2 linked regions of the Astyanax mexicanus genome follow. The protein of the gene in region 1 purifies or fractionates together with the protein of each later gene. This does not show direct contact. Links are inferred from orthologs where the notes say so. Each region holds a gene or a part of one and is shown in the gene's direction. Other genes may lie near its edges.

The links.
Region 2: the proteins of mtmr4 (region 1) and dnajc10 purify together in Homo sapiens (affinity purification with mass spectrometry; 3 studies listed by BioGRID and IntAct, counting the BioPlex papers as one, with this or other methods). This does not show direct contact. The link is inferred for Astyanax mexicanus from reciprocal best matches to the Homo sapiens genes MTMR4 and DNAJC10.

What each region holds. Positions count from the first base shown.
Region 1 is NC_064408.1:12,988,987-13,005,299, forward strand, and holds the start of mtmr4 (myotubularin-related protein 4), read left to right. Parts: upstream 1-8,908; 5' UTR 8,909-9,434; coding exon 9,435-9,479; intron 9,480-16,313. UniProt on the Homo sapiens protein: Lipid phosphatase that specifically dephosphorylates the D-3 position of phosphatidylinositol 3-phosphate and phosphatidylinositol 3,5-bisphosphate, generating phosphatidylinositol and phosphatidylinositol 5-phosphate.
Region 2 is NC_064418.1:49,782,612-49,799,484, forward strand, and holds the start of dnajc10 (dnaJ homolog subfamily C member 10), read left to right. Parts: upstream 1-10,841; 5' UTR 10,842-10,949; intron 10,950-11,977; 5' UTR 11,978-12,068; coding exon 12,069-12,287; intron 12,288-14,416; coding exon 14,417-14,582; intron 14,583-15,131; coding exon 15,132-15,182; intron 15,183-16,297; coding exon 16,298-16,380; intron 16,381-16,873. Other genes in the region: cxcr2 (C-X-C chemokine receptor type 1), read left to right, coding at 104-598, 4,283-4,828. UniProt on the Homo sapiens protein: Endoplasmic reticulum disulfide reductase involved both in the correct folding of proteins and degradation of misfolded proteins.

The sequences.
Region 1 (16,313 bases):
TTTAGATACTCTGTAAGAGTTTACATGAACTCATAGGCAAGGCCTGTGTCTGTTCTGGCTCTGTGCTGGGTGTAGCAATGCCCTCAGGGCAGGAGCACCCATCAGGGCCTTACCATCAGTCTGCAGGATAAACAGCAGACCTTTGTTTATTATGGGATTACTGCAGGAGGGAGGCTTTACTCTGGTCCTGTGCAGTAAATTTCCTGTGCAGTTCCTTACTATTATTACATATAGGACTTTTTTTTTGCAGGTTTGTGGAGTTTCATTATATCCAGGAGAACATTCTGACCTGTACAGTCCTGTTGCAGTTTTCTGTTTTTTTTTTTTCTTTTTGGTCAGAGCAGAAATGCTTGTAAAACCCCCTCAGGGTAGTAAGCAGATGTTAGGATGTCTTTGAAGCATGTGTGTGTGTGTGTGTGAATGCGCAATGAGAGGAAAAGTAGGCAATCCTCCTGCATACATCCGCTCTTAAACGCTCACTGGACATCCAGTAAACACTCTCCCCTCAGTGCACTGAAGGAAACTCTCAGAATCCAGTTTCCACAGCTATTAGCAACGTGTTCCTCCTGCTCTCACAAAGGTAAAGAAAAGCTTCTCTCAGCCTCAACACTGATTTCTACAGAACATACAATGCCCTCTTGTGGTCATTCTTTTTCTAAAGTATCATTGAATCCTGAGGTTTAGTCTGGTGCGTGTGTAAATCACAGATTCTGGACAAAGATATAGCAAAGCACAGGCTGTAGTGACTTAACTGTGTATATTGGAGTCCTTCTGGGCTCTTTCATCTTCATTGTATTTGTTTTATATGTCACAGCAACAACAAAAAAGCTTCTTTCACTTGTGATAAAATAAAATATTGATTTTTACAACATTTCTTGAGGGTTCTTCCTCTGTGTTTTCTGTTATTGTTCCACATGTGAGAAGTTCCCCCCCATTAAATTTCACATTAAATTATTAGATAACCATTAGGTAACCACCCGGTTCTAAGTGTGCATATATTGTGGATATTTGAGAAAACTCAACTTGGAGATCAATATGTTCAATATAGTTCATACTTAAAACCTAGTTACAATGATTTGTTGGCGATATGGATCAAAACTGATATATCTTTATAATTTCTTGATCATTTAGCTGAATGGAGATATAAGGTATCTATCTTGAAATGTTTTTATCCCATAATGTAATAACAAAAAGTCACTTCTGAGGCAAAGCCTAATATTTCAGATTATATACAGACACTGTTATTAACATTCAGCTGTAGATAAAAATGAGATTTATTCTTTTTCTTTTTTTTTCCATTTTATTTCAAAATTTCTTTTGATGGCAAGCTAGATGACCAGGATTTAAACCAGTGATCTCCCAATCATAATGGAAGCCTTTAGACCACTGGAGAGAACAGCATCTCAACATTAGATATATTCTAGAGATTTATTTAATGTCTGATTATTGGAATTGGAATATATTGATATACACAATTTTGTCTTAGCTTATATCTTGTATGAAAAAATATATTGATAACTTTTTAAAACTCAATATATCGTCTAGACCTAGCCCATCTTTTCTGGTTCTACACAATATATATTTTCGGTTAGGCTCTGCTGAGAAAATTCTATCATTTATAATATAATGCAAAATTCTTACTAAGGTGTCTCAATTAAAAAAGTGTGTCAAGACTGCAGATTATTCTATATGGACAAAATTGCTGGGACAAATGCTCATTTGTTTGGTTCTTTTGAAATCAAGAGTATTAAAAAAAAACATTTTCCTGCTTTTAATGGAGTAAATGTCTTTGCTGTGCAAGGAATGATTTCTACTACATTCTGGAGCATTGCTGTGAGGATTTGGTTGCTTTTAAGTTATCAGCTAGAGTAAATTTCGTGATAGTATTTTAGGGCCATATCGCCCACCCCTAATACAGGGTCTAGACCAACTCTAAGGAGCCTATTGCTCACAATGAGCATTCAGTAGACATTTGAACATGTACAGTAGAGATCAACTAAGCACTTGTGTTGCATGTCCAGCTTTATGGACCCGGAGGATAAAGCCACTGTGCCAGTTTTCCCTCACGCCACATTTTTCCAGGCTCCTCATGATGCCACTTCCCTCAAGTGTAAGCACTTGTAAGAGTGTGTACTCCACTAAGTAGCCAAAACTCCAGGCAGCCGTGGCTCGTTGGCCAGGTTCCCCCTCGTTATGAAGTCATGTTTCGTTCGGAACGCTGAACGCGTCCCAGCGGCGATCATTAAACACTTAGGGTGTTCTATAAACACAACAGAGCTGCATCTGTGCCCGGGCCTCCTGTGGCCGCCTCTGCACTTGCTGCTTACGCCCTGCGCTCACCGCTGCCAGCCTGCACCTCTGACACACTGCAGACTCCACAGCAGTGAGGTCCAAAGTGAAGTCAGCGGCTGCTTTATACAGTACCTGCTCTGTAGGAGCCGCTTCTGTGTGTTTATTTGAGCGAGTGATGCCTGGAGTTGGTAGAAGTGGTGTTCTGCAGTTAATGTGAGGATAGTGATGTGATTAATAAGGATATGTTTGGTTTTGGGTCAATTAAGCTGCTGTTGAATCAGCCTGAGAATGTATTTCTTCTTCCTAGAACATAAGAATCAGTGTTATGGCAACAATATTGTACTTTGATATTTGGAGATTTTTTTTTGAACACCATACTTTATGGGTATCAGGGGTTTTGTTTAAAGGTTTAAAGTATAAGTTTGAAGTTATAAACCAGGGATCGTCACTAGGTGGCCTGCGGGCCAGATATGGATGATGCTTCTATGGAGAGCTTTTGTTTACATACCTCCCCTGTCTCTCGGTTGCGCTTGGCATTAAATTTAGTTTCTGTTCGTTCTAGTTTTTCCACCAGTTCTTTGGCTCCCTATTTCCTTATAAGGGTGTTTTTTTCCTGGCCCTGTCCCAATTTACTAGCCGGGGCAGCGGTAGTGTATTGGACCGCGACTCTGACGACACGGGTTCAATCCCGCATGGTTGTTTATTAAGCTTTTCTTTTCTTCTTGGGTTTACCTGCTTTGAATTCAACTGTTCTGCAATTGGGTTCAACAGCCCTCTGGGCTGGAGAGCTACTAGTCTGTAGCACTCCATCCCCTTACACTTCCTTACACTTACAGCATTTTTTTTGTGGCCTGCAACATAATGACTTGGAAAGTATCTGGCCCACAGCCAGACTTAATTGCAAACCCCTGCCATACTTTATGGGTACCAGGGGTTTTGTTTGAAAGTTTAAAGTGCAAGTTTGACCCTATAAACCATATACTTATGATTTGGTACAGAAAGCAAACTTATTTATTTAATCAATTAGTCTCTAATGTTAAGATGTTCATTGTCATGTCGTAATGGTATCTGTCAAGGGATGGGATGTACACATTAGGCAGTAGTTGATGTATTGGATGCAAAAAATTGATAGTTCCAAAGATCTGAGCCACTTTTTTAGCGACCTTATAGCGACTATGAAAATAATGATTGAGAACAAAACTTGAGGTGCAGAATTGGGCACATGCTTGGTTTAGTGGAATTGTCAAAGCATCACTTCATATGTCACATCATACAAACTAAAATGTCATATTCAGTGTGTTTTTGCTGTTAACACTGCTACTCATTTAACTCATTTATCTGTGTTACGTACTGTTATCAAAAAGATTGTGTTTTTATGCCACTTTTACCTGTGGTGTGAACACAGCCTACGTTTTCCTTCTTTAGTCTATTACTATGTTAAATTATAATAATGCAATAATGTTGCAATTTTAAAGAATAGAGGTTGAGTTAATATTAGTCTGTTTTTTGCTCGTTTCTCAACAGGTTTTTTATGTTTTTTATATTATTTTAGTTGACCTACTTTCTTCTAACTTCATAAAAGAGCTCTGTGTGATGTTTTTATATGCAACAGATGAAAGTTTTTCCATATGCACTTGCTGGAATTCCGGGAAGAACTCTTAAATCCAGAATCCATGACTCAGATGTCCTGTGTGTTTATGCTTACTTTGTCACGTGTGTGAGGTTGCCTGCCATCATGTCTACTGCACAAACTGGGTGCTGAAACACACACACACACGAACACAATCCCCACCCACGCACAATGGTTTTAATCTGTTTCCGTACAGCTTGTTTAATCCCCGTCCCGTCCCCTACTATCTGGTCCGCTCTGGTTTTGATCTGCTCTAGAACAAAAGAAGGCCGTGTTGAGTTCTGTTCTGTTTTGTTGGACCAGGACTGGCTTAGGTCCAAAGAAGTGGACCGTGAGCTCCTCTGCCCCACGGCAGCCCAGCGGCTGCTTTAAAGTGGCAGCAGAGCGAGACGGAGGGCGGGGAGGTAAACATGCAGCATGTGACCACCTCACCTGATGCACACACATGAAGAGCTCTTTGGATTTGGTGTTGGTTTGTGTGTTCATGATGTGTATGTGAAGCAATGGAAGATTCTCTTATTTCGTTTTTCATATCGTCACTGTCCAATAAAAAACAAGTATCTCCATTTTTGTCACTTTTTAATTTACTACATAATTTGAACACAGAAACTGTTCCATGCTCTGTGTCAAAATGTCTTAATTTCTGTGATGTTGCTGTTTTGGAGATGCATGTGTTATATTAATATACACTATGCTTTAAGTCTTGAGTTTGGGATGAGATTTGAATGACCTTGGGATGAGTTGAGGATGACTTTGGGATGAGTTGAGGATGACCTTGGGATGAGTTGAGGATGACCTTGGGATGAGATTTGAATGACCTTGGGATGAGTTGAGGATGACTTTGGGATGAGTTGAGGATGACCTTGTCATGAGTTGAGGATGACCTTGGGACGAGCTTGGAATGAGTTTGGGACGAGCTTGGAAAGAGTTGGGGAGGAGCTCTGGACGAGTTTGGGATGAGTTTGGGATGAGTTTGGGACGGGTTGGGGATGAGTTGGGGACGAGTTTGGAATTAGCTTGGGATGAATTGGGAATGAGTTTGGGATGAGCTTTGGATGAATTGGAGGTGAGTTTGGGATGAGCATGGGATGATCTAGGAATGATTTGGGGATGAGCTTTAGATTAGTTTGGGACGAGATTGCGACAAGCTTTGGATAAGCTGGGAGTTTGGGATGAGTTTGGGATGAGTTTGGAAGGAGCTTGGGATGAGCTTGGGATGAGCTTGGGATGCGTTGGGGACAAGTTTGAGATGGGTTGATGTGGAGTTTAGATGAGTTGGGGACGAGTTTGGAATTAGCTTGGGATGAACTGGGAATGAGTTTGGGACGAGCTTGGGACGATTTGAGGAGGAGCTTGGGATGAATTGGAGGTGAGTTTGGGATGAGCTGGGGATGATCTAGGAATGATTTGGGGATGAGCCTTGGATGAGTTTGGGACGCGATTGCGACAAGCTTTGGATGAGCTGGGAGTTTGGGATGCGTTGAGGATAAGCTTGGGACGAGTTGGGGAGGAGTTTGAGATGAATTGGGGGTGAGTTTGTGATGAGCATAGGATGAGCTGGGAATGATTTGAGGATGAGCTTTGGATGAGTTTGGGACGAGATTGCGACGAGCTTTGGATGAGCTGGGAGTTTGGGATGAGCTGGGGAGTCTTCGCTGGACTGTAGAGACAATTACTCCTTTAAACTCTTCAAAACCCTTGATTATAGAAGTAACAATACTTTTGTCCGTATAGTGTACACATCTTGATGGTAGTCAAAGCAAGTCGTAGTTAAACTTCATTCCAGGTATGTGTGTGCAGGACCATTGACGTCAGCTGTGGTGATGCCAAACCCAGAATCAGGTCAGAGCTGCATGGTCTGGGTGGTCTTTGCACTTTGAATAGAGGACTTTAAATTAAGTGCAGAGGTGATGTTTTTCTTCCTACCTGACTCTGGCTAATCATAAGTATATGAGTAACAAGCGGCTATGCCAGGTGTTTGTTTTGAGGTGTTGTGTTATCCAACACTGTATTGACTCTCAGTATCACAATCATTTTTAATTCACAGTTTAGTTGCAGGGAACAGTGGTAGAGAAAATATATCACCAGTGATGTTCTTCCAGTATCTTATACTGACTTATACTGATACTTACCGATACAGATACTTACGATACTTAATACAAAATCAACAGAACACTAGTTTAGAACATGGTATGGCTTACTTTTGTCTCTAAACCAAAAATATTTTTTTCCTCCCATTAAGTGGCTGTCTGTCTGCCTGTGCCCATCTTCAGTAGAATGAAATTGGGGGTGCCCTCTTTTCCTGAAATAGCTGCTGAGGCTGTGGGCTTGTATCAGGAGTAGATCAGGAACACTGAAGGGGAAGTCACGTTTCACTCACTCTCTGTTCAGGTTGACTTTTATATATAAAATAATAAAATTAATACAAAAATTACACTGGAATCAGTGCATTAAAGTATAGGACTGTAACAAATACATTTCATATTATCTTCTCTAAATCTTTCTGTTACCATATTTAATGAACATCACTAGAGATAAAGTGTACATTTTTGACTGAAAGGAAACAAAATGCAGCTTTGCGTTGAAGGTCAAATACCTAACACGTTTTTTTGGCACAGTTTTTTATTCATTTTGCCACTTTTTTAACCACTGCATAAATTAAATATAAATTAATATGAATTAAAATGTGTTTTTCAAAGCTAATCAATCACCTCAGACACACAAACAAAGCCCAGCTTAGACATTGATTGGTATTAGGGGTGTGACAAGACAAGATTTAAAGTTAACTATTTTAAAGAAAACTTTAAAAATTAAAAATAGAGTATTATTTGACAAAATTATATAATGCAAATACAACAGACTGGTTTCTCTCACAAATTGAGTCTATAAAAAATAGAAACAATATTAAAAAAAAATAACACCCCTAATTGGTATAATCGTTTGTTTTTGTAAATCATTTGTTGCTAAATGTTAGCTGCATGCCTAACCACAACTGTTGTTAGAATTAAAACAGGGCATCTGGATGCACAGAGGTAAAAATTGCAAATCTTGTTCTGATGTATTTTTTGTTTAAACCCACTTTCCTGCCATTAAGTGTTTAATATGGTCAGACAAACACATTACCTGTCTGTTCTCTTTCATGCTCTGATTGTACTGTAAGACAAGAGATAGCAAGATGCGCAAAGTAACGCTTCATCTGATCTGATTAACCCTGCTGCAACACCCTATTACCTCACTGCCAGAGGGGAGATTCCCATCTCTGTAACATTACACCTCGCAGCAGCTGCCTTTAAATGGGGGGTTAATACTCTGGTCACGTTTTATGGTGGATAATAAGATTGATTGTAATTGAGACGGACAGGTGGGGATGGTTTTGGAGGGGGGGGGGGATCCTCAATCCAGTCTGGGAGAATTAAAATTGTAACAATATAGTATTTTTTAACAATGCAGTAAATTGCTGTTATAAGAATTGTGGGTCCCAATGAAATTTGTTATAAAAATTCCCCAAAAAATGTTGCTTTTGGTTTATATACAGTTTTTCCTGCATGCATCAGGTTTTCACGGAGACCCACGTAAAAACAACAGCGAGTGGAAATTAAGGAGCTACTGAACAGATGTCAGGTGACCAAGAAAGCCTGAAACCTCACTAGTCCTCCTGTTTTATTAATTGCAGTCCAAATGCAGGAGTTTCAAAATTTAGGGTATTATAAATATTGTGCATTTGCAGTTTTGTGTCTGCAATAGGTACAACTTAATGTAGAGTATTTTTATTAGAAGGAGTGTTCACACAGATTTGGACATATGTATATCTTGGCCAAGGTTCACTTACTTTCACTTTCTGTGTAACTTTCAGTCATTCACACCCACTTGACTCTGTTTGCATTAACATTCATTAAAGGAAGATTTTTCCCATGATCTCTCTCTCTCTCTCTCTCTCTCTTACACACGCACACACACACACAAATGTGTTCTTTGCAGAGGACCTCAGGCATTGGACGGTCACGATTGACACGCTGGGTGAGGGTGGGGGATGTGGAGCTGGAGGGAACTCTTAGGGAACAGTGTGCCTTTGCCATGAAGTAATAGACAGACAGGGAGAGATAGATAAAGAGAGAGAGAGAGATAGAGAGCACTGCATGCTGGGAGGCTGCGGAGAATGAGGCTGATGGAGAGAAAGAGCGCGTGTGGTAGAGATGGAGAGAGAGAGGTTAAAGAAAAGGGAGGGGGAGCTGATGGAGATTGCTGTGTCATTGGTGCACGCTGCATGCTCCTCTCTATTACTTTCTCTCTCTCTCTCTCTCTCTCTCTCTCTCTCTCTCTGTTCTCCCTTCTCCTTCGCTACCTCTCTCGACCATCGTGACTGTTCGCTGATGCATTGCGCCTCCTGCTCCTGCTGCCCAGCCATGCAGCACTGAGGGGAGCACATCAGAGAGCTTGAGCATGTGTGAGTGTGTGCGTGCGCGAGTGTGCGTGATGAAAGAGAACAAAAGAACGAGAGAGAGAATGTGAGAGAGAACAAAAGAACGAGAAAGAGAGAGAGAGAGACAGAACAAGAGTAAGAACAAACAAGAGACAACACTCAATAAATTAAGATGAACCTAGTAAGTCATTGTGAGAGAGTCATACATTTGACGAGCATTGTCTTGTCTATAGGTGTGTGTGTGTGTGTGTGTGCGCTCACAGGCATAGTTGCACACAGGATGGAAGGCATCCTCGGCTCTAGCTGCAGTGTTCTCGAGGCGTCTGCTCTGTTGCTGAGGTGGCAGGCTGGTGCAGATGAGATGTCGGTGAAGGGTGAACAAACGAGGGAAGGAGGGAGGGAGCGAGGAGAGAGAGAGAGGCTGAGTGAGAGGATGCACGTGAGTGAAGGATGCGATGCAACTGTGGGTGGAGCTTAACATCAGGCAATACCCTAGCACTCGCTTTTTACCCCCCCAACCCCCTCCACTGCATGCTCTCTCTATCTCTCCCTTTCTCTCTCTCTACCTCTCTCTCTCTCTCTCTCTCTCTCTCTCTCTTGCGCTCTCTCTTTTTCTCTCACAACCAGCCCCCTCCCATCCAGTCCACCTGCCGGCGTTCCATTTCTCCTCTTTCCTCCTCTCGCGCAATACAGACTATCCATGGACTGTCCTTTCTCTCGGCCACTCGAGCAACAGGGTCACCCGGCAACTGGACCAAACCTGCATCTCCCTCTCCATCAGTCTCTTCTCCGCCACCGGCACCTCGTCCACCTCGGTGATACCCCCCTCCCGGCACGTGCAGAGGAATAGGAGGGGGGCTGGGGCGTGTCTTCTGCAAATGAGCAAGAGAGCAAGCAAATGTGAGTGTAGGTGAAAGTAAGAGAGAGGGAGAGAAAGTAAGAGAGAGGGAGAGAAAGCAAGAAAGAAGTGAGAGAGAAGAGAGGAGTAGGAGAAGCCGGAGTGTCCACTGGGGGAAGGATGGTTTTGCCGGCGATCGTGCAGCTCCTCCGAGTGTGTGTATCCTGGGCAACTGAGCCCTGCCCCCTCTCGCCATGAGCCTGGCCGTCCGTGTCTCCTGCTCCATGCTCAACTGCTTTGTAAGTGTGTGTGTGTGTGTGAGTGTGGATGTATGTGTGTGGACTACACAAACGCTGCAGCTGTGGCTAAGTAACAAGTACAAGTGACATGGGAGTACTGCAGATGCTCAGATGGATGTTAATTAGAGTCAAGAAGCCAGAGTAAGTGTGTACATAGAGATAAAGTGTAATAGAGTGAGAGAGACAGTGTGTGTGTATTTGTGTTTGTGTGTGTGTGTTTGGTCTTTGCTAAAGGGGCCAGAACGCCACGTGAGCTTGTCGCTCCGACGGGAATAACACAGAACATCCAGTTCAGTCAGAAAGAGAGAGAGAGAGAGGGAAAATATGCCGCCCTGATTCTTTTTGTTTTGATGCAATCACGCTTCCGTAGATTACTAAGAGATTTAAGTTTTTAAACACACACACACACACCTACAAACACACATCCATTGCTGAGGTATAGGACATCATCTGGTTCATTCATATAGCTGTTTGTTTGTCTTCATTTCATTTCATTATCTATTGCAACTCCATTCGTTTTCTAGGACCTTCCACAACGTTCCACCACTTTCCGTCTCCATCTCTTAGAATCAAGTGCTTGACATTGGAGTCAGACTGTTAATAGTCCACCAAGGGGCTCGATTCTACCACATTTTACGACCTCCCCTCCCCATTTCTTAGAATCAAATGCTTGACCCTCGACTAGGTGACCTCAGACTACAATCTGCCCATTCAGGGACATTGTGTTATGTAGAGAAGGTCTCTTAAAACCTAAAAGAACTCTAGTTAGTCTTTCTAGGACCTTTCACTACATTGCACCAGTTTCCCCCTGTCCATATCTGCCCTACAAGTCAGGACCTGGAAGGCTCTGTCCAGGGACTCCTACGAGGGAGGAGGGTTACTGCTAGATGCAGCTTGACAGCTTGCTTCTGCGTCTACTGGTTACTTCTCGAACTGTTCAGTTCTCTGCATCCCGCCAGCACCACCACTACTATCCATATCCAACCAGCTCAGGAATCAGCATGCGATTGTTCCAAAGAACTTTGACAATCCTTCAATGTTTATAGGTCCTTCCATTACATTATACCTCTTACTCCTCTCCACCTCTCAGCTATTTACTCTCATAAATGTTAGTTTTGAGGCAGGAGAGGAGGTCATTGGTGGTAACAACCAGAGAATGAGGTTGTCAGCAGTTATAGTCCTTGACAGCTGGTTTCGAGGGTCTTCAATGTCTAGAGATAATGTCCTTCAAAATCTGCAAGAAGACTGTTTTAGAACTCGTGTTTATAGGTCCCTTAGCCATGTTCAAGCACTTTTCCCTCGCTGTCTCTGAGAAACAACTACTTTGTCTGCACTTTCCTCTCATAATTATCACCTTTGACAGGGAAGGTCATTGGTTGTAGCAATCTGACTAGAAGGTTATTGGTAGCTGTGTCCAAGGACTCTTTGTTTTGCAGAGAAGGTTCCTTAAGCCATGATAGACTTCCAACACAGGGTTCTAGGTCCCAGTCTCCCTTTCCCCTTTTTATTTCCAAGTAGTTGCCATGCTATTTTTGCTTATTAAATAGTCAATTTTGACAAGATGACAAAATATTGTCATTGGTTGTAGTGACCATGAGAGAAGGTTATTTGTGCCTGTAGATTGACAGCTTGCTTCAGGATATATGGGTCACCTCTTGAACCTCCCACCCTCCCCCTTCCACCACCATCATGTTCACTTGAATCAAGAGGCAAGATGTGATTGGTCTTTCCAGGGATTCTCTTTGATGTACAGAATGTCTCTTAAAAGCTGGTACAATTCTAACTCAGGTTTCAAGATCTCTCCACCTTTTTTCACCACTTTCCCCTCTCAATCATTGGGAGTGAAGTGCTCGCTGTGCAATTTCTGCTCATAAATGTTCAGTGTTGACAGGAGAGGCAGAAGGGGAGGTTACTGGTTGTATCAACCAAATGCGAAGGTTATTTGTAGCCGCAGCTTAACAGCTTGCCTGCTTCAAGGGCTAGCAATGACCTCTTGGTTGGTGTAGGGTCTTTTGGTTATGTATAGAAGTGGTTTCTAGTATCTGGTTTCTAGTTCCCTCTGGTTCCCATTTTTCACCACTTTTTCTCTCCATCTCTAAGAGTGAAGTGCTTGCTGTGCATTTCTGCTCAGATCTGATGAAAGAGGCAAAAGAGACTAAAAGTCATTGGTTGCAGCAAGTAGCAGAAAAGGTGTTATATGGATGACCCCCTAAATCCCTCAACACTCCAACCATCACATCCATCACCGCCCTTTTTCCCCCCTGGTCCTGAAGTCTGGCTGTGTTTGATCTGTGTAGGGACTCTTGTCTTTGTAGAGATGGTCCCTCAAAACCTGCTACAATATAGAACTCTGATTTCTAGCTGCCCCCACCATGTTTCACCACTTTCCCCCCCTCTCCATCACTCAGCGCAAAGTGCTTTCTCTGCAATTTCTGCTCATAATATGTCAGCCTTGACAGAGGAGGCAGAAGAAGAGGTCATTGGCTGTAAAAGCTGATGAGAAGGTTTTGGGTAGCAGCATCCTGACAGCTTGCTGGTAACCTTTTGAACCTTTCAACAGTTTGCCTCCAACCAATACAATGTACAGCTGTCCCAGAGATAAGGCTGTCATTCGTCTGTACAAGGACCTTTGGCTATGTATACAAGGAACCTCAAAATCTGATAGGACTCTAAGTCTGGTTTTTAGCTCCCTCTGGCATGAACTACCACTTTCACATCTCACCTCTTGAACCCTTTAACACGCCAGCATCACCATTATGTGATTGGTTTGTCCAGTGTCTCTTTGCTCTGTAGAGAAGGTCTCTCAAAACCTGCTAGAATACTACCTTAGGTTTCTAGGACTTGAAAGCTTGGACTTGAAAGGCTAGAGGAAGGTTGTAACAACAAAGAAGTGAAGGTTATCAGTAGCTGTAGTCTGACAGCTTGCTTCAGGGTCTGTAGGTCATTTCTTAAAGCCCTCAACAATTCACCTCCCGAGAGCATCATGTTCCTTCAGCTCAGGAGTCAAGCTGTGATTGGTCCATCCATGTTTTGCTACTGTGGATGGAAGCAATCATTTTCTCACTGCAATGCTCCAAATCTAATAGGAAGTCCTCTCTTGAAAGTAGAGGCTGTAACTCTAGCAAATAGCTGGATAAACTCTCTCTTTTTTTAATGAATCACATTGACTTTGGGGGGAAAAAAAGACAGATGCCCCAGTACTTTACCCATACAGTCTATAACAGACATGCTCATTGATTGCGTATGTGTACCTAGACGAAACCTCCACCAGACCTAAAGTCTCCCCTGCTGGAGTATGTGTTTGTGTCTTGGGTGACTGGGTTTACCATGTGTCTGGGATTTGCTCTGCACTATAGAAATGGAATGGAATTATGAAGGCGAGGTTAACGGCCCCCACGTTCACATCCAGCCTCTGGGCGGCTGAGATGGATGCTTGTTGCTTTTTTAGGGCTTTAAATAATGGGAGCTCGGATCCAGAGGGAGCACTAAAGGGCTCTGATTGAATGGGGAAAGCTTTTTCCATCTCTCTGATGCCATTATTCCATCCCCACCTCACATCCGCCTAAACCAATCAGACCAGTAACAGGAGCTCTGTGTATGACTTTTCGATGAAGCATGTACCCCCCCACCCCCAGTAGGTGTATAAATACCTGGTTGTGTTTGTGTGTATACAGTATGTGTGTATATTTGTGCGTGTGTGTGTGGTGGCCCATATGAGCTGGCGCAGTGCCCACTGCTGCTCGATGGGTGAGGAGCAATGAACCCAGCCGGCAGATGGAAGATCGTGACTGAGCGAAGCCCAGCATTGAGCTGACGTTGTGCCAATGTTAGCGGACGTTATTCTTGGGAGCAATTCTCAGGAGCTGCCCTCCGTTTTTTATACAGCCTTTTGATACTCATTATAGGTATATAAGTAGTTTGTTGAGAAATCCAATAAACATGATTTATCACAAACCCTATATTCCGATATGTTTAATATACCAAGTTTGTTTCTCTGGTTAAGAACGGGAGATGCTAGGCTAGGCTACTTTGGATATAGACGTCTCAATCCTCACCTCAATAAATTCAATCCCAGTTAACAGAGAACGTTATAAAAATATTTAGCAATGTTTCAAAAATGTTCCAAGAAGGTTACAGAAATAATGTCCCAGAAATATTGTGGAAACATTTTACATTTATAATGGTTCCCATCTAGTTGAATACTAACATCATGGAAACTTAAGTAACTTAAGTAACAATCCCAAAACTAAAATTTGAAACATTCACAAGTGACCATGTTTGTGAGAAAGGAAATGTTACCAGAACATTTAAAAACGTTAAATAAAATATTTAGACTGATTTAATGTTTTAAGAATGTTAATTGTAATGTTCAAAAAATCTTCAACTCACCAAAAAGTAAATTTGCATCAGACAAATCTGTGTAGTTTAAAACATTGAATGACTTATTTTAGTTTTAGTTTTTAAGCAATTAAATCAAGATTTAATTTATGTATGTAATTCGTTTTTTTGGGCAGTATTAGCCTAGCATCTTCGTTGTAAATTAAGAAGGCTAATGTTGCTTAGAAACACTGGAATTAGACTGTCACTAATCTCATCTCAGTAATGACTCTAGTAACAGGAGATGCTAGGCTAATGTTGCTAGCAAACACTGTATTTAGGCTGTCATCTGAGTAAATTCATGAAAAGTATCCTTTCTGAGCTTATTTAAAACCCATGCAGTTCTTTAGTTCGTAGTTTAGAACATGGTAGGAATTATTTTTTGTTTTGAAGCAGGTGAGTTCAAATTTAGTCCAGTGTTTGTTAGGAGCATTAGCCTAGCATCTTCCTTTTTGTAAACTAAAGATTAGATATCTTTCCTTTTTTTAAGAGATGCCTTTAATGTTTATGATGTATACACTTAGCTGACGCTCTTATCCAGTGCAACTTACAAGGTTATATTTATTACAGAGTTAGCCCAATGTAGTGTTAGGAGTCTTGCCCAAGGATTCTTATTGGTGTAGCACAGCATAGTCACCCAGAGCAGGAATTGAACCCCAGTTTTCCACATGATGTAGCAGCTCACTTGCAGGAAGTGGTGTTATCCACTGCACCACACCAACCACCTTATAACAAGATAAGAACTCTATTGGTACTGAACGTATTGGGACCTTCACCTTCTCATTCATTAATTCTTCCCATTACCATTACTGTAAAGAAATCAGAGTAACCAAGTCATTTCATACCAAATCCACGCTGAGTGACTTTGTTTACATCATAGCCACTAAATCATTCAGAGATTTATTTTACAATATATTTGAACTATAGTTTACTCTGTATGTGCAATAACTCGTATTGGAAATCCAGTAGTGTTTTTTTTTTCTCAGCCCACCTACACTGCAGTCTGCGTATGACTAATAATATAAATGCTATTATTGTGTGTCGGTGTATGAGATACAGGATCTGCATATCTCTGCATGTGGAGCATCAGTGTTGCTCATCAGTTTAGTTCCTCAACAGCCTGGAATTTCACTCTCAGATTCTCAGAATGCGGAGCTTAAACTGGCTTGTACTGGGTCAGTGTGACCCTTATGTGTTTTTTTATTATATTTTAAACAGATGTGTTGATGGTTTATCCTTTTCTATTCCTTCAGTGCCATTTTCTATTTATCCCACAGCCCAGTGTAGTTGAGCTATGAGGTTCATGAAGAGCTCTCTCAGAATGGTCAGCCTGTAGGTTATCCAAAGGGCAGTATATGGACTGGTCACTTTACACCACACACAGCTCTCCTTCTCTGTGATTTATGGTTGTTTTTGACTAAATTGTAAAGATTGCAATTGGAAATCAATCAGATCAGATTCACTTTTCGTTTTGCTATGATGATGCTGGTGCAGGAGTTTGACTCAGAGGTGAAACGTGTTGTTGTTCAGTGGGACTAATCAGATTGATTGATTGATGAAGGGAGTAGTGTTTCTCAATGTATGTGAAGTTTAGTTTTAGGTTCTGCAAACTGGCAAACTATTAAATACCAATTTTTTTCCATATTTACCCAACTACTTTTGTGTTCTTCTGACAATCTTAGAAGTAAAAGGTTGCAAAAATGGGTTCTCCTGAGCATTAAACACAAAGAAAAAAAAATTGAGTGCACATAATATCCTTATCTTACTGGTAAGAGTAGATAATTAATTGAGCATTAGTCAGATATTAAATGGTTTATTGTTTTTTTTTTCCTGTTTTCTCTCCAAATGTAGTCATTGCCAATCTGAAACTGGTGGAAAAAGTGAAGGCTAAAGCAGGATTGTAGTGTCTTCTTCAACAGTAAAAAAGTGGAACTCTTTTCACTTTGTATCACCACTAAAGGACATGCTTTTCACATGCATTTTACAAGCTAAGAGATACAGAACTGACACAGTGAAAAATCACATGGACTGAGTAGGGCTGCAATGATTAGTCGATATATTCGACAATGTTGATTATTTAAATTTGTCACCTTCAAATTATATTGTCGACTAATCGTTTATATGTAACAGTGCTGCATTACACAAAGTGCTGGGGACAGAAGTGCAATGGGAGATGGGTAAACGTCTCATGTGCACTCTTGTGTCCCCAAGAGTGCCTAAACACAACCGATTACATATTTACTCATTAAACATCAGTACTTTCCATGTTTAAACAATATCTAGAGATTTAAATGTATTTTAAATCTCATGTTCAGCTGTTTTTATCGTTTTTTTTAGGACATGGCAGAAATAATCAATGACTAATCGACTTAAAAAATATATATATCAGATTAGTTGACTACTAGAATATTCATGCAGCCCTAGGACTGAGGCGGAACAGTATCACCTGTAGCCTAA
Region 2 (16,873 bases), on another chromosome or scaffold:
TGCACTTTATAATTGTATGATTTATATGAACAATGTTAAAATGAAATGTGGTAAATAATATTTAAAAATAAAAATATAAAGCATCTTTTTTAATCTTTTCTAGTCCACTATCTCCAGCATGACTGAGGAATTCACTACTGATTACACGGAATATAACCTCGTGATGCCGTGTTCAGAGACGCTGGAATCTGTGGACAGCACCGCCGTGGCGATCAGCTACACCGTCGTGTTCCTCCTCAGCCTGGTGGGCAACAGCGTGGTGATCTACGTGATATACATGATGCAAAGCCGCAGGACGTCTACGGACGTCTACCTGATGAACCTGGCCCTGGCCGACCTCCTCTTCTCCCTCACGCTGCCCTTCGAAGCCGCCTGCATCTACGCCTCCAGCTGGATCTTCGGCACCGTCCTCTGCAAGATGCTCTCAGGACTGCAGGAGGCCACGTTCTACGGCTGCGTCTTCCTGCTGGCCTGCATCAGCATCGACCGCTACATGGCCATCGTCAGGGCCACGCAGTTCATCTCCAAACAGCACTGCCTGGTGCGGACTGTGTGCGGACTGGTGTGGCTGGGAGCCACCACGCTGTCCCTGCCTGTGGTACGTAATTGTTTTATAAGGTAGATTCATGATGCCTTTAAAATTCACAAACTTCCAATAATCGTACAGCTCCTGAAGTTGTAATGTGGAGATGACCCCATACTTTTTAATACTTTTCAATATCGTGTATCTGCAAAGGGGAACCGACTACACATTAATGCCTATGGCTTTAGAATGGGGCGTTATAAAACCTCCTTTAGATGTGATATGTAGGTATTCCAGTACTTTTGTCCTTACATATTATGGCGTATATGTTTAGAAGGAAACATCATAAAAGCTATTGTAGGTGTAATGTGCAGGTGTCCCAATACTTTTGTCAATATATTATATTGTAGCTTTAAAGGGGGACCGACTACACATTAATGTCTATGGACTTAAAATGGGACGTCATAAAATCTCCTTTAGATGTGACTTGTAGGTATCCTGATATTTTTGTCCATATATTCTATATTATAAAAGTATTCCGATACTTTTTAAAATATATTGTAGCTTCAATTGGGGACCGACTATACATTAATGCCTATAGGTTTAGAATTGGACATAATAAAATCTCCTTTAGATGTGATGTGTAGGTGTCTCGATACTTTTGTCCATATATTCTAGCTTCAAAGGGGGACCAACTACATCTTAATGCCTATGGGTTTAGAATGGGATGGCATTAAAGCTCCTATAGATGTAATATGAAGGTGTCTCAGTACTTTTGTCCATCCATATTAATGTATATATGTTTAGAATGAAACATCATAAAAGCTCTTGTAGTTGTAATGTGTAGGTGTCCCAATACTTCTGTCCCTATACTTTGAACCAAATATTGTAGCAGCAAAGTATATTAATATAAAACCTTGTGTTTTCTGTGTATTAATGAATACATTTTCCTGATTGAGTTAGTGCAGATATATACATTTTATTGCATTTAGTCTTAGCATTACAAACTATATGTTTTCTTTCTACTCCACCCTGACTGTTTTTAGCTGTTTTTTCTCATCTTCTTTTTGAAAACTCATAAAATTATTAGAATTATTAGAATAATAGTGTGACTGGAATGAAGCCTTCATAACTGGCATGAATAAAGGGCAAAATGAATTTTAAATGAAAATTGCACCACAAGTTTAGGGAAAGTGCAGGTTCTCCTGTGCTATATTTGTACCTTACTATTTTGTATTTTACTGATTAATAGAAAACAGTTAAACCATAAGTGTTGGGAAAGTACAGGGTAAGTTTCAGAAAGTTACCTAGGTGTTACACTCTTGTTCTCTGGTTGTATTTTATTTATACGTACAGTTAAATACCTGTAAAACCCAGTAAGTATTCAGAATGTACTGGTTCATCCAGAGAAGTTACATCGTAAGTAAAGGGAACTTACCCTCTAAAACACAGGTTGTATTATAAAGCGTTACCAAATCTCCTGTATTTGTAATGTGTGGCTGTCCAAATACATTTGTCCATATATTCTAACTTCAAAGCTTCAAAAACTGTGATGTGATGTGTTGGTACCCAATACTTTTTTTCTATCTATATTAATTACTATAGGTTTAGAATGGGACGTGATAAAATGTTGTGTGGATGTGCCCCAATATGTTGTACATCCATGTTAATTTATATTATATTACATTACATTACATTACATTTGGCAGACGCTTTTGTCCAAAGCGACTTACAATAGTCAAGTACAATGTAAAAAAAAGTTTAAAGGTAAAACATCTTTGGATAGGGATAAAAGGAGGTCAAAGGGGAATAATAGGATAGAGGAGTGAAGGAGGGGAAGAAGGAAATGGGGTTAGAAGAAGTTAGTGTGTTAGAGGTGTTAGGAGAGTAAGTGCTCTTTGAAGTGCTCTGTCTTCAGGAGTTTATTAAAGATAGTGAGAGATTCTCCTGATCTGGTAGTAGAAGGTAGTTAGTTAGAGGTGTTAGGAGAGTAAGTGCTCTTTGAAGAGCTCTGTCTTCAGGAGTTTATTAAAGATAGCGAGAGATTCTCCTGATCTGGTAGTAGAAGGTAGTTAGTTAGAGGTGTTAGGAGAGTAAGTGCTCTTTGAAGAGCTCTGTCTTCAGGAGTTTATTAAAGATAGTGAGAGATTCTCCTGATCTGGTAGTGGAAGGTAGTTTGTTCCACCATTGGGGAACTCTGTATGAGAACAGTCTGGATTGCTTTGTGTGAGTGTTTGGTAAAGCGAGGCGACGTTCACTGGAGGAGCGCAGCGGCCGGGAGGTAGCGTAAGCCTTCAGGAGCGAGTGCAGGTAGGAAGGAGCTGTTCTGTCATCACCTTGTAGGCGATTGTAAGAACTTTGAATTTGATGCGAGCATCAACTGGTAGCCAGTGGAGCTCAATGAGCAGCGGGGTGACATGTGCCCATTTTGGCTGGTTGAAGACCAGACGTGCTGCTGCATTCTGGATCATCTGGAGTGGTTTTACTACACAGGCCGGGAGGCCAGTTAGCAGGGCATTGCAGTAGTCGAGGCGTGAGATGACGACCGCTTGCACCAGGAGTTGGGTGGCCTGTTGCGTCAAGAACGGTCTAATTTTTCGGATGTTATAGAGCGCAAAGTGGCAGGACCGAGCAACTGAGGCCACATGGTGCGTGAAGGAGAGTTGGTCATCAACCAGAACACCCAGGTTCCTAGCAACCTTTGTCGGTGAGAGAGAGAGAGAGTCGATGCTTATAGAGAAGTTGTGTTGAAAAGATGGTTTTGCTGGTATGACCAGAAGTTCAGTCTTTGAGAGATTTAATTGAAGGTGATGCTCCTTCATCCATGAGGATATGTCAGAGAGACACTGCGATATCCGTGCAGAGATTGAGTGATCTTCAGGTGAGAACGACAGGTATAGCTGGGTGTCATCCGCAAAGCAATGGTAGGAAAATCCGTGTGAGCGGACAACCTGACCAAGAGAGGTGGTGTATATGGAGAAGAGAAGGGGTCCCAGTACCGAACCTTGGGGAACCCCAGTGGATAAGGAGCGGGCTGAGGACAGCTGTCCTTGCCACGACACCTTGAACGAGCGCCCAGGCACCTTGAACGACCAGTTAGAATTAAACGTCATTAAAGCTCCTGTAGTAATGTGTAATGTGCAGATGTCAAAATACATTTGCCCTTACAGTGTAACTGCAAAGAGGGAGCAACTACACACTAATGTTTATAGGTTTAGAATGGGACGATGCTCTTTGTGATGCACTGTATTACTGAATCACACCTGTATCACACCTGATTGGTCTAATTTGATTGTATGCATCACATCAACATCAAAGTATAACTCTAGTTAGCTAACTCTCCTTCTGTCCCTCTTTTTCCGCCCTCCTCCAGCTGTTGTTAGTAGGCGGTCCGTCACAATTCCTGGAGATATCATCCAATAGCATTCGCTGAGGGAGGCGAACCTAGCTCCGCCCCCAAACTTTAAATAACACCCCTTTCAAAACGTGAGCGGAAAAAACTCACTTGGGTGAAAAAAGCAGAGAATTCTGGAGGAAAAAAACACCCAAGAGGAGAAAAATAATGCTTGAGAGGGATATTCAGTTCAGCTCGCACACGATTCCCTTTTATTTTTTGCTCGCTAGTTTCACATTTGTGCTCACGAGAAGTTAATTAACACACACAAAATGTTAAAACACGCTGGTTAATTTTTTTCACCTGTTGTTTTTACGCCCCCAACTTTTTGACATTGATGTGACGCCGTATGGTTGTTCTTCCAGGTGGTGCAGCGCGAGGCTCTTCAGGAATCTAATGGGTACAGGTGTTACGAGAACCTGACAGCGGACAACATAGACAAGTGGCGCGTGGGCATGCGGATCCTCCGCCACACGGTGGGCTTCTTCCTGCCGCTGGCCATCATGGTGTTCTGCTACGGCTGGACGATGGGGACCCTCTTCCGCTCACGCAACAGCCAGAAGCACAAGGCCATGAGGGTCATCCTGTGCGTGGTCCTGGCCTTCGTGGTCTGCTGGCTCCCCAACAACATCACGGAACTCATCAACACGCTGATCGAGGGGGACATTATCGATGATACGTGCGAGCTCCGGAACAAAGTGGGCGCGGCCATGTACGTCACTCAGGCTCTGGCCTTCATTCACTGCGCCATTAACCCCTTACTCTACGCCTTCATCGGCAAGAAGTTCAGGAACCAGCTCTGCATGATCTTCTTCAAGAAGGGTCTGATTGGGAGGGAGGTTCTGTCTCGGTACAGAATCGGATCCCTCTACAGCTCGGGAAGCTCCAGGCATACGTCCGTCACTCTGTAGGACGTCAGGATTGGAAAAGAGGAAAAGATCTTGTGTTATTAGTCATTTTTTACACTCATCATCAAACATATAGCTGCATCCAGAAGAAAGGAAGTGTGGGATTATAATGCTATAATGCTATAATGCTATTTGGAAGAAATAGGAATAGTTAGTAGGAACAATAAATAAGTATAAATGTAGATTAGATATTTATGGGTAATATTTAGTGAGCTGCACACACAGAAGTAACTTGTAACTTGTGCGTAATGCATGTGTAAATTACTTAGAGCTTAGATCGGGCCCAAAAAATCCAGCCAATCCAGCCCGAATCAGCCCAAATCTGTGCATGTTCTGCCACTATGAGCCCGAGGCCAATTTAAAGCCCAATTTAAACATTTTTTTAGCAAGTTGAGCATTAAATCTGAGCTTTTTAAAAACATTTTTGGGCTGTTTGAATGAGCCAAATCTGTTCACAATGATGTTATTTTACATTGCAACACTGAAGAAGCATAGACCTGTTATTTAAGGCCCAGAGCTGCATTATTTTAACATTCTAACTTGTGCAACTTTGATTTATGTTACTTTGCTATATTGTGATTATAATGCCTATTCACAAGATAACACCTCACAACTTATGCAGGCACGAGCATTCCTAAGACGCTTTGTTATCGCCTTACACCCTGCTGTCCCATGACTTTTATAAACTTTTTCATTGCTATATTTTCTTTAATTTTACCAAATTGAAAACCTTTGGAATATAATCAAGAGGAAGATGGATGATCACAAACCATCAAACCACCAAACTGAACTGCTTGGATTTTTGCCCCAGGAGTAAAGCAGCATAAAGTTATCCAAAAGCAGTGTGTAAGACTGGTGGAGGAGGAGAACATGATGCCAAGATGCATGAAAAAAAACTGTGATTAAAAACCAGCAGGGTTATTCCACCAAATATTGATTATTTCTGAAAACTTTCTCTTAAAACTTTATGAATATGAACTTGTTTTTCTCATTTCTCAGTTTTCCTGTTAACAAATGCTATAAATAACAATATTTTGATATTTTGATTTGGAATTTGGGAGAAATGTTGTCTGTAGTTTATAGAATAAAACAACAATGTTCATTTTACTCAAACATAAACCTATAAATAGCAAAATCAGAGAAACTGATTTAGAAACCGAAGTGCTCTCTTAATTTTTTCCAGAGCTGTATGTATATTAATGTGTATGTTAATCTCTTTGTGAATACACCTTCTAATGAATGCATTTGCCTGCTTTAATCTGAGCCCATTGCTCAGGTTACACAGGTGTGCAAATTCTCACACTCGCACACACTTTACACGTTTATCGTACGCTTATACGCTGCTTTTCATTAAACAGAATCTCTTATCTTGTTAAACAGAAACAGACAGAGTGAGCGAGAGAGTTTCAGAAATCTTTATCTAGAAATGATCTGTCAAAAACAACCTTATCTTGCTTTGAGGTTAGAGCCTACAGTTCTGATTGAACTGATAGAACATGCACCTTATGCACTAAGCGATACACACACACACACACACACACACACACACACACACACACACACACACACACTATAATACACCTAAGCTTTGCTTGTTATACTTTTTTTAAGTATATTTTGCTTATTTTTCTTGTTTCATGTAAAAGCTGTTGCTGTTGAGACATGAGTGTATGATTCAGCATGACGGGTGCAGAACAGCTGCTTAGGAGAAGTTCATATTTCATAATATCAGTGCTTCTGTATTATAATAAACATAAATACCATTTAAAAACCTGTAAATGTTGTTATACTTTTATACAGTGCAAGTATGTCGTTTGCTGAATGTGTAATTATTGTGATTATTGTGGATCCTAAACTGTATCTGTCTGAAAACTGCTGGTGCCCATTATTTTTTTCCCCAGAAAATTAAGTATTTCTATCAGACAATTATAGGAATTACACTTTTTGTTACACACATGCTTATTTAAACAGAGAGAAACTGACATAACTTCACACAAAACTCAAAAATCAAAGCTTGTGATGCTCATTTAAACTCCCTTATGGAAAGTAACAGGTGTGGGCAATATAAAAACCACACCTGAAACCAGAAAAAGGAGACGAGAAGTTTCTCAATCTTTGCAATTTGTGTCTGTGTGTGCAAGACTAAGCAATGAGAACAGAACAATGAGAAGAGAACTGTCTGAGAACCAAAATTAAGGACAAATACCAGCAATTTCAACTTTACAAGTCCATCTACACTTATCTTGACATTCCTTTTTCCACAGTGCGCAAAATAATCAAATTTATATCACTGAGGCTAATCCCCCTGGACATAGACAGAAGAGAAAAATTTATGAAAGGTTGCATTGCAAGATATTCCAGATGGTGGATAAGCAGCCCCAATCAAGTTCACAAAGAAATTCAAGCCGTCCTGCAGGCTCAGGGTGCATCAGTGTTGGCGTGACCTATCGGTCAACATTTAATACGCTATGGTAGGAGAGATATAAAAAAAGCTAAACTGCATTTTGACAAAAATGTACATGAGTAAGCCAAAATTCTTCTTGGAAAATAGGCAAGGCAAGGCAAGCACATCAGTCATTGAAAGTGCTTTACAAACTAGAAAATATAAAAAGAAGTCAAATAAAAAAACATGTAAAAGAATAACAATACAAATGCAAATACAAATAAAATAAGAGTAAAACATGAATGATTCAAATACGATTCAAAAAAGAGCAGTCAAATTAAAAACATGTAAAAGAACAACAATGAATTGGAAATAAAAATAAGAAAATAGATGAGACCGACAAGACCAAGATAGAGCTTTTTTGGTAAAACACATAATTCTACTGTTTACTGAAAACAGAATAAAGCCTATAAAGAAAGGAACACAGTACCAACAGTCAGATATGGTGGAGGTTTAAAGATGTTTTGAGGTTTGTTTTTTTTTTTGCCTCTGGAACTGGGTGCAATGAATCGTTAAATCTGAACATTACAAAAGCTAAGATTTTGGGTCTTAATGCTGGGCCAAGTGTCAGAAAGCTGAGTTTGAGTCGTAGGTCATGGGTCTTCCAGCATGACAATGACCCTAAACATACTTCAGAAAGCAACCAGAGATGGAGTTCTGAAGTGGAAGCAATAAGTCCAGATCTAAATCCCACCTAACATTGCTGTTGGGAGAAGAAATCCTTCAAATAGTGAGAGCTGGAGAATTCTAGGTGTAAGAAAGGTGTAAAAAGCTTGATGGTTATAGGAAACAATTGATTTCAGTTATTTTTTTCCAAAAGGGTGTGCAACCAAATATATTTTACATATTTAAAGATTTCATTCCATCGTTTTGTTATTCATTTTAACCAGTCTAATTATGTCTCTAGTATGAATGAATGCCATGTGAGCCGTTTTTTGGTGAAAAAAACGATTGCTCATAAATATTCATACATGCAAATATATCGCCTACGATTGGCTAACAGCACTGCAGCAGAGAATGCTGCCTTGATTACATTTCTTTCAGCTAAACTAACGTTTCTGAATTCTTACCTCCTATTTATCCTATTTAAACCTATAGTTACTTACACAAAATAGCTAACCTTAACTAGCTGTGTAAACAGAAGTTGTAAGCTCCGCCTGTGGGCGGTCCTGAGCCGAGGTGGGGGAGGCTATGAAATCACTGGTTGACATCAACCTTTTACATCTCTCTGATCAACTCGTATTTCTGAGGGTTCTCTTTTACTAGCTACTGCAGACAGCGGAGGCTAAGAAACAGTTTTAAATGCGGCATCATATATAACTTAGAGAGACCTATTGTATTTGACTTTGCCTGCTTTGTAATAATGAAATAATGTTTTTCTCTGATATTTTGTTTTGTTCCAATGCACACAAAGAAAATCTTGACGTGTATGTTTGGGTTTTTCTGTAGAAAACAGCTTTTCTTTGGTGCGAGAGCTCCAGATGTCTCACATCTGAGTGATAATCATCTGACGGTCTGCTCTAATCTAACGTGCTGAGTTTCCCAGAATCACCGCCACCCTGCAGCTCTCACGGATGCCCTGCTGGAGGAGGAAAATTAGCCGAGATTATCACTGCACATCACTCTCTATCACTCTGAATCACAACCTATCACTCTATTACTCTTTATCACTCCCTGTCACTCACTCTCTATCACTCTGTATCACTGCACATCACTTTCTATCACTCTGTATCACTGCACATCACTCTCTATCACTCTGTATCACTGCACATCACTCTCTATCACTCTGTATCACTCTATTACTCTTTATCACTCCCTGTCACTCACTCTCTATCACTCTGTATCACTGCACATCACTTTCTATCACTCTGTATCACTGCACATCACTCTCTATCACTCTGTATCACTGCACATCACTCTCTATCACTCTGTATCACTGCACATCACTCTCTATCACTCTATTACTCTTTATCACTCCCTGTCACTCACTCTCTATCACTCTGTATCACTGCACATCACTTTCTATCACTCTGTATCACTGCACATCACTCTCTATCACTCTGTATCACTGCACATCACTCTCTATCACTCTGTATCACTGCACATCACTTTCTATCACTCTGTATCACTGCACATCACTCTCTATCACTCTGTATCACTGCACATCACTTTCTATCACTCTGTATCACTGCACATCACTCTCTATCACTCTGTATCACTGCACATCACTCTCTATCACTCTGTATCACTGCACATCACTCTCTATCACTCTGTATCACTCTATTACTCTTTATCACTCCCTGTCACTCACTCTCTATCACTCCACATCACTTAATATTTATCACTGTGTAATACTTTATATCTCTCCAGATCACTATATATCACTATGTATCACTGTCACTGTATGTCACTCCATAATGTTGTTTATAAAGGAATATAAAATTGTTTTCTTGTGTAAATAAGTAAACAAATCCTTTACAGCAAAAAAAAAAAAATAATAATAATATATATATATATATATATATATATATATATATATATATATATAGTGGCGAACTGGCCTAAAGGACGACACTCTGGAGACTCTTGCATCTCTTTCTCCGTAGATTTATTCCTCTCAATCCACACAAAAAAAGTTAATCCATACAGCAACAACCTCGAACGACCAGAGAAAAAGGAACACTCCCCAGATTTCTCCCGCTCTCTCCATCCTCCCAGTTCCGAACCCCGCCCCTCCCTGTTCACCCTCTATCATGGTTGGCTGGCACCTGTTCTCTACATGGCGCCCCCCTTAACCCTGAAGATCCCAGTGGCGACGCCACAACATATATATATATATAAACAAATCCTTATATACATATATAATCCTTATATATATATATATATATATATATATATAATATATATATATATATATATATATATATATATATATATATATATATATATATATATATATATATATATATGAAATAGATTTTAGTTAAGTTTTTAGTCTATCGTTTATTTTTTATTTAATATTTTATATAATTGCTGTTTAAAAAAATATTATATAAGTAAACTATGTAAAATTATTTCGATAAAATAATACATTAAAAAAGTTTTTTTTTGGGAGGAAACGGACGTGGCGCTCGCTGGCCGTCAATACGTCACGAGGGGTCCTTAGAGGGTGCTGGATGTGACTGGAGCACAGAATCGCGCATACCCCCTGCCTGCCTGCACAGCTAATAACCACTGTACTAATTTAAAAGAACCCATCTTTATACAACATTTTACATAAAACGTCTTTTTTGCATGAATTAATTTTACGTGCTCATATTTATATTTATTACTACAGGTAGAACCTTTAATAGCTTTTAATTGTGTTATTTTATATTTAATATTTATTTAATCCAGTGTGTAACTAACTGGAATTTTGGAAATTCGAAACGCTGTTTTAGTAAGTGTAAGTGACTCATTAAATGTTACTAAAAATATATATTTTAAATTATTTTTATTTACTTTATTAGGCTATTAAAGTGATGTGGTGTGATTTTAAGTCAGGCGCACAGGGCAGCTAAATAGAGAGGTCCTTGGGGTGCAGAGTTTGGTGGGGTGCCCAGCGCGGTGTAGCACTGTACCGGTATTCAGCCTGCAGAGACCCGGACACAGCGTGCAGCAGATACACCGTGATATTTACAGGTAAATGTGTGTGTAATATTGTGTTGTGAATAATGTTGTGTCTAAGGTGTTGTGTTGTGTTGTGTAATGGTGTGTGTGTTTTGTGTGTAATGTGTAGTGTTGTATAATGCTGTTGTGTTGTGTGTTGTGTTTTGTGTGCAATGTGGGCAGCTAAATGTGTGTGTGTTAGCTGTAGTATACAGAGTTTATAACCTGAATAATTATAATTATAAAGGAATTAAACACCGGGTAAACAGAGGAGTTCAGTCCTAAAACATCACACTCCTGTTCTAGCTGAGCTCGTCTGGTTAAGGGTATAAATTAGATTAATGCAGTTTAAATTAAGCTAGTTTAGGCTAGCCCTGTTACTCCTTAAAGGGGAGGGGAAATGGGTGATGTATGGGTTTAGGGGTGGAGCAGACGGGAGAGCTGATTGGGTGAGAGGCAGAAATGACAGCAATAAGAGCGTTTTGTTTTACCAGTCCACCAGTCTTACACACTGCTTTTCTGTGATTTTATGCCACATCTAGCGCAAAAATGAATGAGTTCAGCTTTGTTTGATGACTTATAATAATCCATCTTCCTTTTGATTATATTCCAGATGTTTGCAATGAATTGAATGTAGTATTAAGAAATGCTGTTGCTGTTTGCATACATTATTCATAAATGTTCATTTAAGACTAGGACCTTTAGACCTAAAAAAAACAATAATATCTCCTAATATAATCTTACAAAAATAGCTAAATGCATGCGATGCAATATAACAAAGAGATTAACATTATAACGTTAAGCTATCAATATTTTTCTGATTATTTTCTGACTGAGTGGTGCTATTGATTATTGATAGTAAAAGTAAAGTGATATGTGGTGTGGGTGCAGAACACCTGACGTCCTGCTGTGGCCAGGATGGAGCTTATTAACCTGTAAAAAGCCTCCACCCTCTGTAAACACTGGCTGCGTATGCCAGCGTGTTACACGCTACACAGCAGATGGATGTAATCACACCTCTGGACGCTCTTCCAACCCTTTATTCTGCTCTGTATTTACAGAATTCCCGATTCAAGATGATCCCGGATCTCAGTAATTAGTCCTGCGTTAAAGAGCGACTCCTCCTTCAGATCTTCTGGACTTTCTGCAAAAATGAGGCTCCAGAAATCCAGCGTCTCCACCGTCCAGAACTGCCTGAAGCCCTGGAGGAAAACTCTGCTGTTCCTGTTTATCTTTACCTGGCTTGTGGTTTCCAGTCATTCAGATGAAGATTATTATAAGTTACTGGGAATTTCGAGAGACTCCAGCACACGGGAGATCCGGCAGGCCTTTAAGAAGCTGGCGCTGACCATGCACCCGGACAAGAACCCGGTCAGTACCATCTACTGTATCTACTGTATATACTGTATCTGCAGAGACAGCGGTTTGTTTAATGGTTAATATAAGGCCTGTCACAATAACAATTGTTTGTGCAGGATATTTTGTCCCAAAAATGATTGCGATAAACGATAATTTTAAATTTTATATATTTATTTATTCATTTTTTTATTTTATTTTTTTTTATTTCTTTCATTGTTTTTAGTTATTGTTTATTTATATTTTATTTAAATTCTCTTTTATGTGATTAGCTTTATTTATTCATCATCATTCATTTTATTAGTTTTATTACCTTAGATTTTATTTACATATGATTTTTGGATTCCTACTCTTAAATTCTATGCCTTATTTGTTTTATATATATTTTATAATATCTTATCTTATAAAATGTTTTATTTATTTATTTAATTCATAAAGAAAATGTCAATCCCTTCCCTATGTAATGGCTCGGCTGCATTGTAAATGAGGGCCACCCTTAATGTACTCCTAGTTTACATAAAGGTTGATTGATTGATTTTGTTGCCATTTTTAGACCACTAATCTGACACTAATAAAATAATAACGTAATTTTTGAACAAATGAATTACCATTTTAAACATAACTTTGAACAAGCGTAGGTTATATATAGTAGGTTCTTCAGTGTGTAATATATATATATATATATATATATACACACACATTGCAAAGTGTAAAGTCAGGGGGAACCGTGGGGTGTCCGCCCCACACCATGATGTGCAGCCCCGGTCTGTCCCAGCTGGCACATGTTGAACCGGCATGAGGCAACACAAACCTAAGAGACACTAAAGTTAAGCAACTAGAGCCAAACTAGTCAATTACTATGTTTCTTTAAGTCTGTTTTGGGTGTTGATAGAGGCCATTTTTTTCTAATAAAGCTTCAGCCACGCCCACAGTCACAATATATATAAGTGCATTTTGTAAGTGCAAACACAAGGGACGATACTATGATTATTAAAATGATTGAGGTTGTGCTTTTATTGAACGATAAATTGATAATGTAGTTATTGTGACAGGCTTAGTTAATATTAGTCTGATACCTGAGTCATCCTTCACTATAAAAAGGTCAATTTTGAGGCCAGATCCTCTTTTCCCAGTGAATTTCTGATTGATTTAAGCCTGGTCTGTAGACCTGTTACGATAACCATGTTTTTTTTGTACAATATTTTGTCCCATATCATAATTATGATAAGAAAAAATAGAAAAAAAAAATCATTTTAAGAACATTTTATGCCACTGTTTTAATGATAACATTAAATCTTTATCTTCTCAGATATTCTGTTTAAATAGGTGGGGAGAAAAGGAATGCTGCTATTTTTTTAAAGGGCAGTAGTAAATGTATACGTGGGTAAATTAAGGTGGGCTGTAAATGTACGAGTCTGCTCTTGTAATCATCTTGGTCCAGTATAATCTTGACTGATCTAAGATTGTATTTTCGTATTTGGGACGTTTTATTAAACACGTGGACAAAATTGTTGGTACGCCTCAATTAATGCTGCTTTGCTCTATTTGGCACAGGGTGTAGTGTCTTGAATCTGTGCAGGTTACAATAAAATCTCAAGACTATAAAGAGATTGTGGAGAAATGTGCTTCCCAGTGTCAGAAAGCTTGGTCTCAGTCGCAGGACATGGGTCATGCAACAGGACAATGACCCAAAACACAGCTAAAACACCTAGAGCTAAAACATGCAATCTGGAAAATACCTGCAGTTACAGGAATCGTTTTATTGCAGTGATTGCCTCAAAAGTTTGTGCAACAAAATATTAAATTCAGGGTACCATCGTTTCTATGCAGGTCTGTTTCATGAGTTTATAAAAAAAAAAAAATTGACGCATTATTGAAAAGGTATGTCTTATTTTCATTTGTTCCTTTTTTATAGCATTTTTATTTCTTAATACTTTTTTCAGATGCAACTTATTTCTGTGACCATTGTTGGTTTTTCTTTCTTTTTGGCTACCTGTGTAATTATTAATTTACACGCTTTCACCAGCTTTTTTTTACCAATAGCTGGATGTTTATAGACTAGGCCTGCTTTCAGATGTGCTGTGCACATCAGTACTTTAGCCATCAGCCTCAGTAACTCAGACTCGTGTTTTCTGTACGTTCAGAACGACGAGACGGCTCATGAGAAGTTCCTGAAGATCAACCGAGCGTACGAGGTGCTGAAGGACGAAGACCTGCGAAAGAAATACGACAAATACGGAGAGAAGGGGCTTCAGGATGAGCAGCACGGGGGCCGATACGAAAGCTGGAACTTCTACAGATATGATTTTGGTATGGTTTAATTTGTATTTATTATATCTTTAATTATACTGTCTTGAAGTCTTGAGACCCGGACTTTTGTTTGGTGTGCATCTGTTTGAGATTATGGGAACCTAACAAGTATAAAAAAAAACAATGTCCTCATATATGAATCATAGTTTATTTCAACATTTAACAATAATTTTAGCTCTCTAAAGAAAGGAATTAAACTTATTTCAAAATAAAATCTAATGAGTATTTTTACCTGGCCCACATTTACATCTCAACTGGCTGTGGAAACTTTTGTCTGGGATTCCCGCCAACTTGTTTTTTAATCAATTGAGTGTAATGTCGTCTTGTGACCACTAGGTGGTACCGACAGTGCCTCCATATCAGACCAGAGGGTCAGTGTTTAACCAAAAGAAGTATCAGGGTGCAGAGAAGCAGAAATGTAGTGTCCACATATGAGGACGCAGGGTCTCAGGACCCAGGATATACTAATAATAGGCAGAATGTGTTTGGCTCTGTAATGCTTTATAGTTTTTAAAACCTACTACCAATACATTGATTTGTGTTTTACAGGCATTTATGATGAAGATCCAGAGATTATTACTCTAGACAGAGGAGACTTTGGTAAGTAAAATTATTTAATAGGGCTGGGTGATCTGGCCCAGATATATTATATCATAATGATGATGTGCAATATCACAACATTTTGGCAAACAAATAAAATGCAGTATTAGACCTGAATTATATCCTTAAACACTTAAATATACATGATTTTAAAGTGTCTAAATCACATAAAATGTGTATTTGTCTCGTTAGCTGTATAGTGCAGTCATGCTTTATTGTCTGAGTTGCTGTGTGATGATGTCAGGGCCCTGAATTCATCACCACCAACTCCAGAGTCATTTTATCTGCAAAGACATTTTTACACAGACACAGTACTTACCTGGATCCTGTGGAAATGGCGGCGCGCGAGCCACCCGGGTCCTTAAGGTCTGGGTAGAGACCAAGGGGTGTCCTGGGGCAGGGGAGCCTGGGGGTACCTGTGAAAAAGAGAACAGAGAAAATAATACATTAACATTGTAAAATTATCATCAATACTTACCTGGACGTCCAAATGTTTACATGCATGTCACTCTGTTTGTAAATATGTTAATATTGTACATATACAATCATGTATAGTTGTCTTACCCACCTGCCCTCAAGTTAATTACTTGTTGGTTTAGCCGGGGATGGGCTAAAGGTATTTAAAGGCAGGCGGGTACACTATTGGGGGGCTGGTTGAGCGTGGCTGGTATGCCGACGGGAGTTTATTGTGCTGAGTATTAGCATTTGTGGTGGTAGCAGCCAATCCACCGTTAACTCCTACCAGTGTAGCGTGTAAATAGTTTGTATATATATTGTAAATTTAGTTTTGTTTTCATTTTTGTTTTTGGGTTCGGATGCTTAATTTGTCACAATAAACACTTCAAAAGGGATTCTTACCTGGTTCCAGGCTGTTTTTGCGTCTCTGCCTCACCTCTCTCCGGTAACCTCCTGACCACTCGTCCTCACACTCCCACATGCTGCTACTGTTGTTTTCTGGTGCAGTGGGCGGGGCTAAACTACTGCTGTTTAATTGGCTTGTTAACTTCTTCATTGGCTGGTTTATGGTTTATTCTGATGGACAATAGGAAAATACATGATGTCCAGTGTAATGTATGCTTTAAGAGTTAAAGCGTTTTCTCTTGTCTCTCGGACAGACGCTGCAGTGAACTCTGGTGAAGTTTGGTTTGTGAATTTCTACTTTCCCCGATGCTCGCACTGTCACGACCTGGCTCCTACGGTGAGATTGACTAAAACAGTGCTTTACACTTATCACACTTACTCCTGCTTCTGCTCATATACGCTGACGAAGTCGACCTAAAATCAGTTGACAATAAATAATCACTATATTTAATTTATTTGCAGTGTTATATATTAATAAATGCGATACAACAGAGCAGTGGTGGCTCACTGGAGTTTCAGGGCCTTCTGTTTGATATCCGGCTTTACTGAACAAAAATAGTCAATTCTAAAACCAATAAAAGCTGAAGTACTATAAAATTATAATACTGTACTACACACTGCACCTATTTCCGCACTTCCACACACATACTCCAGATATCTGCACATGTATATAGCATGTAATATGTATACATTCAGTTATATTTCCTATTATTCCTATTTATCTACAGAGCAATATCAAATGTCTACAGTAGTCTAAGTTATTGTTTAAGTTAATTCAATATTTCCTATTTTAATTTGCTTATTCTAAATATTGTTCTGCATACTATTGG